Linked DNA regions of Saccharomyces cerevisiae S288C. The protein of the gene in region 2 interacts with the protein of the main gene of each other region in a biochemical or structural test. Each region holds a gene or a part of one and is shown on either strand. Other genes may lie near its edges.

Region 1 (4,200 bases), on a different chromosome or scaffold from region 2:
CTGTAACTACCACCATCTCTCCGAAGAAGAAGTCGCATCCTATGAAAGGTAAAAATTTGATTGGTAAATATGACGTTGAAGATCCGTTCATTGATGATTCGGAGTTATTGTGGGAGGAACAGCGTGCTGCCACCAAGGACGGTTTTTTTGTTTACTTTGGTCCATTAATCGAAAAAGGTCACTATGCAAGTTTGGAGCGTGCAAATGGTACCATGAAAAGAGGTGGTGTTAAAAATAAATAAGCATTGTGTCAGAGATTTTCCAAAATCCCTGAACGACATAAAAAATGAAATAAAGTGTGCCTATATCTGAAAGTATATAGTCAGTTTATATGAAGATTTTTCCGAGCGAATGCTTTTCTATCCATGTATCTATGTCCGATAATATGGTGAAAGAAAAAATAGATAATTTCACCTTAGAGAATCTATAAACTTGGCTATAAAACCAGAAACGAGTATGGCATGTTCAATATCTTGGTGGAAATGAAATAGATAAGAACTTCATTTTATACCAGTAAAATAGTCATTTAGAGATTCGTTTTTATCCACAATTTCCTTATACTTCGGAAGTTTATCAGGTTCGACTGACTTCAAATTAGAATCAATCTTCGAACAAACAATCTTCAGTAGATCTTCATCCCATGTTTTTTTTAGCACAATGAAAATATTCAAGTAAGTTAGCAGTAATAATATATCACTCTTCTTGGCATCTGCCGTAAATGAATCTTGGATAGTCTGCAGACAACAGTCATGAACAGCTTTCATTTTGGAAGAATCTAGTTGGATATAATGTCTGATGTTACTTTGCTGAGCTTTGTTACTATCATTGACCTTCAGTTTGGATAATTTTTCGACAATCAAATCCGTCTCAGAATCGTTATCCTTGGTGGAGATGCGTCGCCTTGAAAGGTCTTTAAAAACACATAATACGGACGTCTTAGCCAATGGAAGGGGAGATGTCTTAAGCACATCTAAGATAAACTCAAATGCAACTTTTTCAGGTATTAAACATAGTAATCTGGTGAGAAGAGTGAAAGTTATCATTCTTAACTGCTGATTGACCTGAATACAGTTCTTTTGAAGTAGAACATGCAATAATGTTTTTGTAACAAACACTGAAAGATTCTTCAATTCTTTTTTTACATCCTCCAAGGGCTCGGTTGTAATAGCATACCATAGCCAGTAGCGACTAACTGATTCAACTGCTACATTATAGTAAACTTTAGAATATAATGATGGAGTTGTAAATCTCAAGTAGAGATAAATGGCATCCGTTATATTCATTTCCTTTACTAAATGTTGATTGGTTTCCAAATAGTGGATACCAGAAAATAATATTACACCATTATAGTCCAAACCAACATTTTTTTCTTTAGCGGCCTTTTGTACTTCGAATGTATAAGCCAATTTATATACCATTCTTTCCAAAACCAACTTTGCTTCATCATTAACAGCGGAAATCTCCTGGGGTACAGACTTATAAATAATCCTACATTCTTTTATCACATTCTGAAATTCTCCCTCTATATCAACATCAAGCGAGAACGCCATTTGGTAATACCTGCAAAATAGCTCAAGATATTCGGTGTAATATGCAGATAATTCAAACTTCTGTTGATTTAGTGCACAATAGTATTTCACGTCGGCATTGGTGGTGACAGTTTTTATGGGTGTCGAAATACCAAAAGTACAAAGCCTACGCAATAGTCTAACCTGTAATTCACTTTCTTCCTCCACAACTTTATCAAACATCTCTCGAGTAAAATCTTCGTTCAATTGTATATCTTTTGGTGGATCAGGGGGAATATAGTTCCTGCAGAATGTGTACACCCTACGAAGAAGGAAAAGGGCATCTTCAAAAGTGTCCGCATGACTATACACAAATTTCTCAATTGTTGACACAGCAGCTCCCAGATATTTCGAAGGAAACAGAGTAGAAATCCTTTTCAGACTCGCCCCTATGAATTCAAATAAAATGTAGGATTTCAACTTCAAGAAAAATTCATTTGAACTCTTGCTTTCACCGTAGGATGGAAAATCTTTTCGATTAGAGGAATTTTCGATTACTCCTTCAGGAGGTAACGTATTGGCCTTTTTATCAACAAAGTCTTCCTTATTCTGTTGATCACTCTTGGAAAAATCTTTTGAACAAAGGGATGAAAGCAACTCCAACCCAGTAATTAAACATTTTTTGGGCTCGCCTTGGATTGAGATGGCATAGAAACACTTCATTACACCTTGGACAATCATATTCGTACCTAGTCTTCCATTTACATCGACATTATCCTTTGACAAGAACTTCAATAATCCCTTAGGCAGATCCCAACCGATTTCACCAGTAGTACTCGGATTATCCTCTAACAATGTATTCAAAGTTTCAATGAATCTCGTCTTTTCTTCATAGCTCCCCTCTTGGTTAACTTGCTCGCCATATATATCAATCAATGTTACCAACTCAAGAAGATCCTCCTTCTGAGTTTTGAACGCATCAGTAACCTCAAAAAGTATGTCATCAATTGGTTCCATTAGTGTCTGAGTATCGTATTGAATGTCTAGGGTGATTTTCTTTTTCAGTGTTTATTTGTTAATAATGTTCACCGGCAATTAGTCTTTATTTTTTTCCTTTACATTGTCAAATTTAAAGAATCGTACTTATGAAGGATGCCCGCTTAGTGTTTGACAGAAAGCTACTTGAGCTGAAGAAATAAACGTACATCCCTAACTGTATATTCTACAGTAGAGTGAACCAATGACAGTATGAGTAGGATCCTAGAGAGCGAAAATGAAACAGAAAGTGACGAAAGCTCCATCATATCCACAAATAATGGAACGGCAATGGAAAGATCCAGAAATAATCAAGAATTAAGATCATCTCCTCATACCGTTCAAAATAGATTGGAACTTTTTAGCAGGAGATTGTCTCAGCTTGGTTTGGCGAGTGACATTTCTGTCGACCAGCAAGTTGAAGATTCCTCTAGTGGCACTTATGAACAGGAAGAGACAATCAAAACGAATGCACAAACAAGCAAACAAAAAAGCCATAAAGACGAAAAAAACATACAAAAGATACAGATAAAATTTCAGCCCATTGGTTCTATTGGGCAGTTAAAACCATCTGTTTGTAAAATATCAATGTCACAGTCTTTTGCAATGGTTATTTTATTTCTTAAGAGACGGCTGAAAATGGACCATGTTTATTGTTATATAAATAATTCGTTTGCGCCAAGTCCGCAGCAAAATATTGGTGAACTTTGGATGCAATTCAAGACTAATGATGAGCTTATTGTAAGTTATTGTGCATCCGTAGCGTTTGGTTAAATACCCGGGCGCTGGAATGGTCTAAGAAGAAAACCTACAGTCGATCAAAAATCCCGTACGATATTAAATAGAGTAGTTAACGTACTTGAGCGTTATAAACTCACATTTTCACTCAAGAAGAAAATGGAGAATGGAGACATGGTAAGTGAAAGCATTAAGGAAGAAACACAGTTAGCACGTATTTCATCGAAAGTGTTTGATTACTTTCTATTTGGCATTTAAATATACATGGGAACATAACTAGATAAAATATACGCCATATATAGTACAGCTAGTATTTTCAGATGTCATAAAATATAATTAACGAGTAAAAATTACTTTTTTTGGGATGGGGGTAGGGTTTCTTCTTCTAGGACAACCAACAAATCTGATGCGTCAACACTTTCACCATCCTTAATGAAAACGTCTTTAACTTGACCATCTGCTGGTGAAGAGACAACCATTTCCATTTTCATGGCACTCAAAACAGCAATCGATTCGCCCTTTTTCACCAAAGACCCTTTATGTACTTTAACTTCTATGATAACACCAGCCATTGGTGCACCGATTTGGTGAGTATCGTGGACATCAGCCTTTGGTTTAGCAACAGATTGTATGTTTTGTGACTTGTCTGCAACTCTGATCTTTCTTAATTCACCGTTCAATTCAAAATACACTTCTCTTTGCCCAGTTTTCTTATTTAAGTCACCAACAGCTTGCAATTTGATAATCAAAGTCTTACCTTGTTCGATGGTGACTTCGATTTCTTCATCAGGTTCTGCTGGTGCTAGGAAATTTTTGGTTGGTAGAACTGATAAATCACCGTATGTTTCTCTGATCTTTTGGAAATCTTCATAGACCCTTGGATACATATTGTAAGAAGCAACATCGCATTCATCAATAT
Region 2 (2,850 bases):
GTGAAGGATTCTGGTATGCCCTTCCCTATTTCGTACTTGGCAAGAAAAGTGGCAGACAAGATCAGTCAGGCATACTCTAGTGGTGAAGTTAAGAACCAGTTCGACTTTGTGGAGGGTGAAATTTCCAAAAATAACGGCTACCTGGTTGATGGGAAGTTGAGCGGTGCCGATATCTTGATGTCTTTCCCTTTGCAGATGGCGTTTGAAAGAAAGTTTGCCGCACCAGAGGATTATCCTGCCATTTCCAAATGGTTAAAGACCATAACCTCAGAGGAGTCGTATGCTGCTTCTAAGGAAAAGGCGCGTGCTTTAGGTAGCAATTTCTAAACCGTTTTGTTGCGTTCGTACGGCACTAGCAGCCGCGTAATTCGTTCACACACTTCAATACATATGTATGTATACGTATATAGTCTGTTGCGACACATAATAATTGACAGGTTTGACTAGCGAGTATGTATTATCAGGAAATATAAAAGAAAACTAAGCTTTACCTAACTTCAAAAGAAGAAGACCTGCCTATTCCACCTCTTTCAAAAGTTCTTCGATGGTTTCGGACAACGAAGAAGGTTTGGTTAGTGAAGAGTATCTTTCGTACACTTTACCCTTTTTATCGACTAAGAATTTTTCAAAATTCCATTTGATACCTCTCAAGCCCAACATACCGGATTTTTGGCTCTTCAAAAACTTGTAAACAGGGTCCTCATTGCCACCATTAACGTCAATTTTTTTCATAATGGGGAAAGTCACGCCATAGTTCAGTTGGCAGAACTGGGCAATTTCTTCATCAGAGCCAGGTTCTTGGTGGCCAAACTGGTTGCATGGGAACCCGATGATGGTAAATCCTTCGTCCTTATAACGTTTGTACAAGGCCTCTAGTTCTTTGTATTGAGGAGTGAATCCACATTTGGAGGCAACATTAACGATAAGCACCACTTTTCCCTTTAATTGGTCGAAGGGGAATGGTTGGCCTTTCTTGTCAACAGGTGCTAGCTTATAGAATTCTGACATGATAAACTTGAATACTTTACGAGATGACAGCTTGGAAGAGAGAGACGTGGAAAGCTCTGATGCTGTTTTTATTACTATTGCTTTTCCGATATTAAGGGAGCATACTGTTCCTCATGGTTTTTTCCCTCTTTTTTTCACTTTTTGACCTTTTTCGTAAAGTGGCTAAAAACGATAATGCAGAAAAAGAAGAAGGAATACAGGAAATAAGGGCTGTCGCGAACAGCAACAAGAGAAACAACTTATAATCTGTCAAAGAAGGGATATGGGCAAGGTTATTTTGATTACAGGTGCCTCCCGTGGGATTGGCCTGCAATTGGTGAAAACTGTTATCGAAGAGGACGATGAATGCATCGTCTACGGCGTAGCAAGAACGGAAGCTGGTCTGCAGTCTTTGCAAAGAGAATACGGTGCAGACAAATTTGTCTATCGTGTCCTCGACATCACGGACAGGTCTCGAATGGAAGCGTTGGTGGAGGAAATCCGGCAAAAGCATGGAAAACTGGACGGTATTGTCGCAAATGCGGGGATGCTAGAACCGGTGAAGTCCATCTCCCAGTCCAACTCCGAACACGACATCAAGCAGTGGGAACGGCTGTTCGATGTGAACTTTTTCAGCATTGTCTCTTTGGTGGCACTGTGTTTACCCCTCTTGAAGAGCTCGCCATTTGTAGGCAACATTGTCTTCGTCAGCTCTGGAGCCAGTGTGAAACCATATAACGGATGGTCGGCGTACGGCTGCTCGAAAGCCGCATTAAACCACTTTGCCATGGACATTGCCAGTGAAGAGCCCAGTGATAAAGTGCGTGCCGTGTGTATTGCACCGGGCGTCGTTGACACGCAGATGCAGAAAGATATTAGGGAAACATTGGGTCCTCAGGGCATGACACCCAAGGCTCTCGAGAGGTTTACTCAATTGTACAAGACTTCGTCACTGCTGGACCCAAAGGTGCCTGCGGCGGTACTAGCGCAACTCGTCCTGAAAGGTATTCCCGACTCTTTGAACGGTCAATATCTCCGCTACAACGATGAGCGACTGGGGCCGGTGCAGGGCTAGTACTAAACTATATTATGTAAAAGGGTATAGTTATAGTTTTTAGCTACTAAACTTTTATTGGGTTTGCGATGAGCGACAGTTTTGTGCGGCCATTTCTGTGCCAAGAACCGGATTGAATGTATCACCGAAGGAATTCCGCGGTGTTTTCAAAGAAATGAAGAGAAGACAGTATGAACATTAACTTTTGCATATATATACGTAAACGAAAAAGATCAAGTGCAATGGAAGAATATTGTACCTAAAAAAAAGGGTCTAACTACAGCGTGTAACAGGTTAAAAAAACATGGGTAAAGTTATTTTAGTTACAGGTGTTTCCAGAGGTATCGGTAAGTCCATCGTGGATGTTCTTTTCAGTTTGGACAAGGACACGGTTGTTTACGGTGTAGCCAGGTCTGAGGCACCCTTGAAGAAGTTGAAAGAGAAGTATGGCGACAGGTTTTTTTACGTTGTCGGTGATATTACCGAGGATTCCGTGTTGAAGCAGTTGGTTAACGCTGCTGTTAAGGGCCACGGCAAGATCGACTCCTTGGTTGCCAACGCTGGTGTCCTAGAGCCCGTGCAAAATGTCAACGAGATTGATGTCAACGCTTGGAAGAAGCTGTATGACATCAACTTCTTCAGCATTGTTTCCTTGGTTGGCATTGCGTTACCTGAATTGAAGAAGACCAACGGTAACGTGGTATTCGTCAGTTCGGACGCCTGTAACATGTACTTCAGCAGTTGGGGAGCTTACGGTTCTTCAAAAGCCGCTCTGAACCACTTCGCCATGACTCTGGCCAACGAGGAAA
Region 3 (3,184 bases), on a different chromosome or scaffold from region 2:
TGATTTCTGTCATTGGGGCCGCAGATTCCAATATACTGGGTACGTCGGAAGCAAGGAAGAGTTGAATGATGCCATTCAAGAGGAAACAGAAGTGGAAATGTTAACTGCTAGGAGTAAACTTTCACATCATCAAGTTCCCATTTGGCAATCCATTGAAATAATGGACAGATATGCGATGAAAACGCTAAGTGATACTCCAAATGGTGAAAGGTACGATGCTTGGAAACAATACTTGGAAATCACCGGAAACACCATATGCGGCGAAAAGCCAATTAGTGTGATACTAAGTGCTTTATCGAAAATCCGTGATGCCGGTCCTTCAGGCATCAAATTTCAGTGGCCTAATTATTCACAGAGTTCTCATGTGACAAGTATTGATGATAGTAGTGTCAGTTATGCTTCAGGTTATGTTACTATAGGATAATGATCACGGCTAAAACGGTCGAATGTAAGCATATATCTTTCGATTGTATAATTGTTCCCAAATACTACAGCATCTCAAGGAAAAAAAAACAAAAACTTCCAAAAAAATCGAATCCCTGAGGAATCTTTAATACATTTTCAATCTATTTAAGTTTTATAAACGTGTATATGAGATGTCATGAGCATGAATTATTAATAATAAAAACTAAATCATTAAAGTAACTTAAGGAGTTAAATTTAAGCCTTGGCAACGTGTTCAACCAAGTCGACAACTCTGGTAGAGTAACCGTATTCGTTGTCGTACCAGGAAACCAACTTGACGAACTTTGGAGACAATTGGATACCAGCGGCAGCATCGAAGATGGAAGAGTTAGAGTCACCCAAGAAGTCAGAGGAGACAACAGCGTCTTCAGTGTAACCCAAGACACCCTTCAACTTACCTTCAGCGGCAGCCTTGACAACCTTCTTGATTTCATCGTAGGTGGTTTCCTTGTTCAACTTGACAGTCAAGTCAACAACGGAAACATCGACGGTTGGGACTCTGAAAGCCATACCGGTCAACTTACCTTGCAATTCTGGCAAGACCTTACCGACAGCCTTAGCAGCACCGGTAGAGGATGGGATGATGTTACCGGAAGCGGTTCTACCACCTCTCCAGTCCTTGTGGGATGGACCGTCAACAGTCTTTTGGGTGGCGGTCATGGAGTGAACAGTGGTCATCAAACCTTCTTCAATACCGAAAGCATCGTTGATAACCTTGGCCAATGGAGCCAAACAGTTGGTGGTACAAGAAGCGTTGGAAACAATCTTCAAGTCAGAAGTGTATTTTTCTTCGTTAACACCCATGACGAACATTGGGGCGGTGGAAGATGGAGCAGTGATGACAACCTTCTTGGCACCAGCGTCAATGTGCTTTTGAGCAGTGTCCAATTCCTTGAAAACACCAGTGGAGTCAATGGCGATGTCAATGTTTAGAGAAGCCCATGGCAAGTTAGCTGGGTCTCTTTCTTGGAAAGTGGCGATCTTGTGACCATCAACGATGATGTGCTTGTCATCGTGGGAAACTTCACCAGCGTATCTACCGTGAGTAGAGTCGTACTTGAACATGTAAGCGGAGTAGTCGTTAGAGATGAAAGGATCGTTCAAAGCAACAACTTCGACGTTCTTTCTTTGCAAAGCAATTCTCATAACCAATCTACCGATTCTACCGAAACCGTTAATAGCAACTCTAACCATTTTGTTTTGTTTGTTTGTGTGATGAATTTAATTTGAAACTAAGTTCTTGGTTTTTTTAACATTTAAACAAACAATAATAAAATGAATAGACACACAAGAAAAAAACTATCTTGAATGAGTGCAACCTTTATATATTCTTCCAAACCTACAAAAAAATTGCAGGTCTGCGATCACTGGGTACTATCAAAACACATATTAGCATACGTATGTGTTCGTACGTGCGGTCCGCAAGGTCTTTGTGACAGCCATGACATGATTGGATTGAATAGTTCACTTCAGCTGTCACCACCAGTTTTAGGCCCTAACACATCAGTCGAGTTCCACTAGGCTTTGTTAGCCGTAGCTGCGTTGCAACAACTGCGCAAAACGCGCGACTTCCTGTAAATGCCGCAGATCACGTGGTAAAGAAAAGAAACAACAGGCCGACCCAGTTTCGTTGTTTCTTTTCATTATTTCTGGATGCTCTTCACAACGTATTTCATGACATACTTATTGAATTAGTGGAAGCCCAAAACATCATTACCCTGGAAAACTTAATTGACGTAAATTAACTTCAGTTGTCTTATGTTTTTTGCATCCTTAACTTTAGCCGCGCAGGGATAATCATATATGTCGAAAGAGCAACTAAACAATACTTAAAAACGTGTTTGAACTTTTACGAAAGGGTAACGACAAATAATCATTCACTGGAAAAACCAATAAACCATAAGTAAATGAAAAACTGTTTCAACCGATGTTGGTACTTTCCATGTCTTAAAAGAGTACAATTTATAAATTAATGAAAACACAGAAGTATTTAGATCGGCTCAAATGTTTTTGGACATTAAAAGATCTTGAAACTGAGTAAGATGCTCAGAATACCCGTCAAGATAAGAGTATAATGTAGAGTAATATACCAAGTATTCAGCATATTCTCCTCTTCTTTTGTATAAATCACGGAAGGGATGATTTATAAGAAAAATGAATACTATTACACTTCATTTACCACCCTCTGATCTAGATTTTCCAACGATATGTACGTAGTGGTATAAGGTGAGGGGGTCCACAGATATAACATCGTTTAATTTAGTACTAACAGAGACTTTTGTCACAACTACATATAAGTGTACAAATATAGTACAGATATGACACACTTGTAGCGCCAACGCGCATCCTACGGATTGCTGACAGAAAAAAAGGTCACGTGACCAGAAAAGTCACGTGTAATTTTGTAACTCACCGCATTCTAGCGGTCCCTGTCGTGCACACTGCACTCAACACCATAAACCTTAGCAACCTCCAAAGGAAATCACCGTATAACAAAGCCACAGTTTTACAACTTAGTCTCTTATGAAGTTACTTACCAATGAGAAATAGAGGCTCTTTCTCGAGAAATATGAATATGGATATATATATATATATATATATATATATATATATATATGTAAACTTGGTTCTTTTTTAGCTTGTGATCTCTAGCTTGGGTCTCTCTCTGTCGTAACAGTTGTGATATCGTTTCTTAACAATTGAAAAGGAACTAAGAAAG

What was found.
Region 1: the proteins of HYR1 (region 2) and YBP1 form a complex in vitro, tested with the Saccharomyces cerevisiae proteins (one study listed by BioGRID).
Region 3: the proteins of HYR1 (region 2) and TDH2 form a complex in vitro, tested with the Saccharomyces cerevisiae proteins (one study listed by BioGRID).

Annotation. Positions count from the first base shown.
Region 1 is NC_001134.8:655,076-659,275, forward strand, and holds YBP1 (Ybp1p), read right to left. Parts: upstream 2,526-4,200; coding exon 501-2,525; downstream 1-500. Other genes in the region: HPC2 (Hpc2p), read left to right, coding at 1-242; ATG12 (Atg12p), read left to right, coding at 2,757-3,317; PYC2 (pyruvate carboxylase 2), read right to left, coding at 3,632-4,200. UniProt on the Saccharomyces cerevisiae protein: Involved in oxidative stress response and redox homeostasis. Required for hydrogen peroxide-induced oxidation and nuclear localization (activation) of YAP1. Functions probably in concert with HYP1/GPX3, the actual YAP1 modifying enzyme.
Region 2 is NC_001141.2:421,286-424,135, reverse strand, and holds HYR1 (peroxiredoxin HYR1), read right to left. Parts: upstream 1,009-2,850; coding exon 517-1,008; downstream 1-516. Other genes in the region: GTT1 (bifunctional glutathione transferase/peroxidase), read left to right, coding at 1-327; sepiapterin reductase family protein IRC24, read left to right, coding at 1,271-2,062; NRE1 (sepiapterin reductase family protein), read left to right, coding at 2,346-2,850. UniProt on the Saccharomyces cerevisiae protein: Involved in oxidative stress response and redox homeostasis. Functions as a sensor and transducer of hydroperoxide stress.
Region 3 is NC_001142.9:453,023-456,206, forward strand, and holds TDH2 (glyceraldehyde-3-phosphate dehydrogenase (phosphorylating) TDH2), read right to left. Parts: upstream 1,660-3,184; coding exon 661-1,659; downstream 1-660. Other genes in the region: MHO1 (Mho1p), read left to right, coding at 1-424. UniProt on the Saccharomyces cerevisiae protein: Glyceraldehyde-3-phosphate dehydrogenase (GAPDH) involved in glycolysis and gluconeogenesis. Catalyzes the reaction of glyceraldehyde-3-phosphate to 1,3 bis-phosphoglycerate.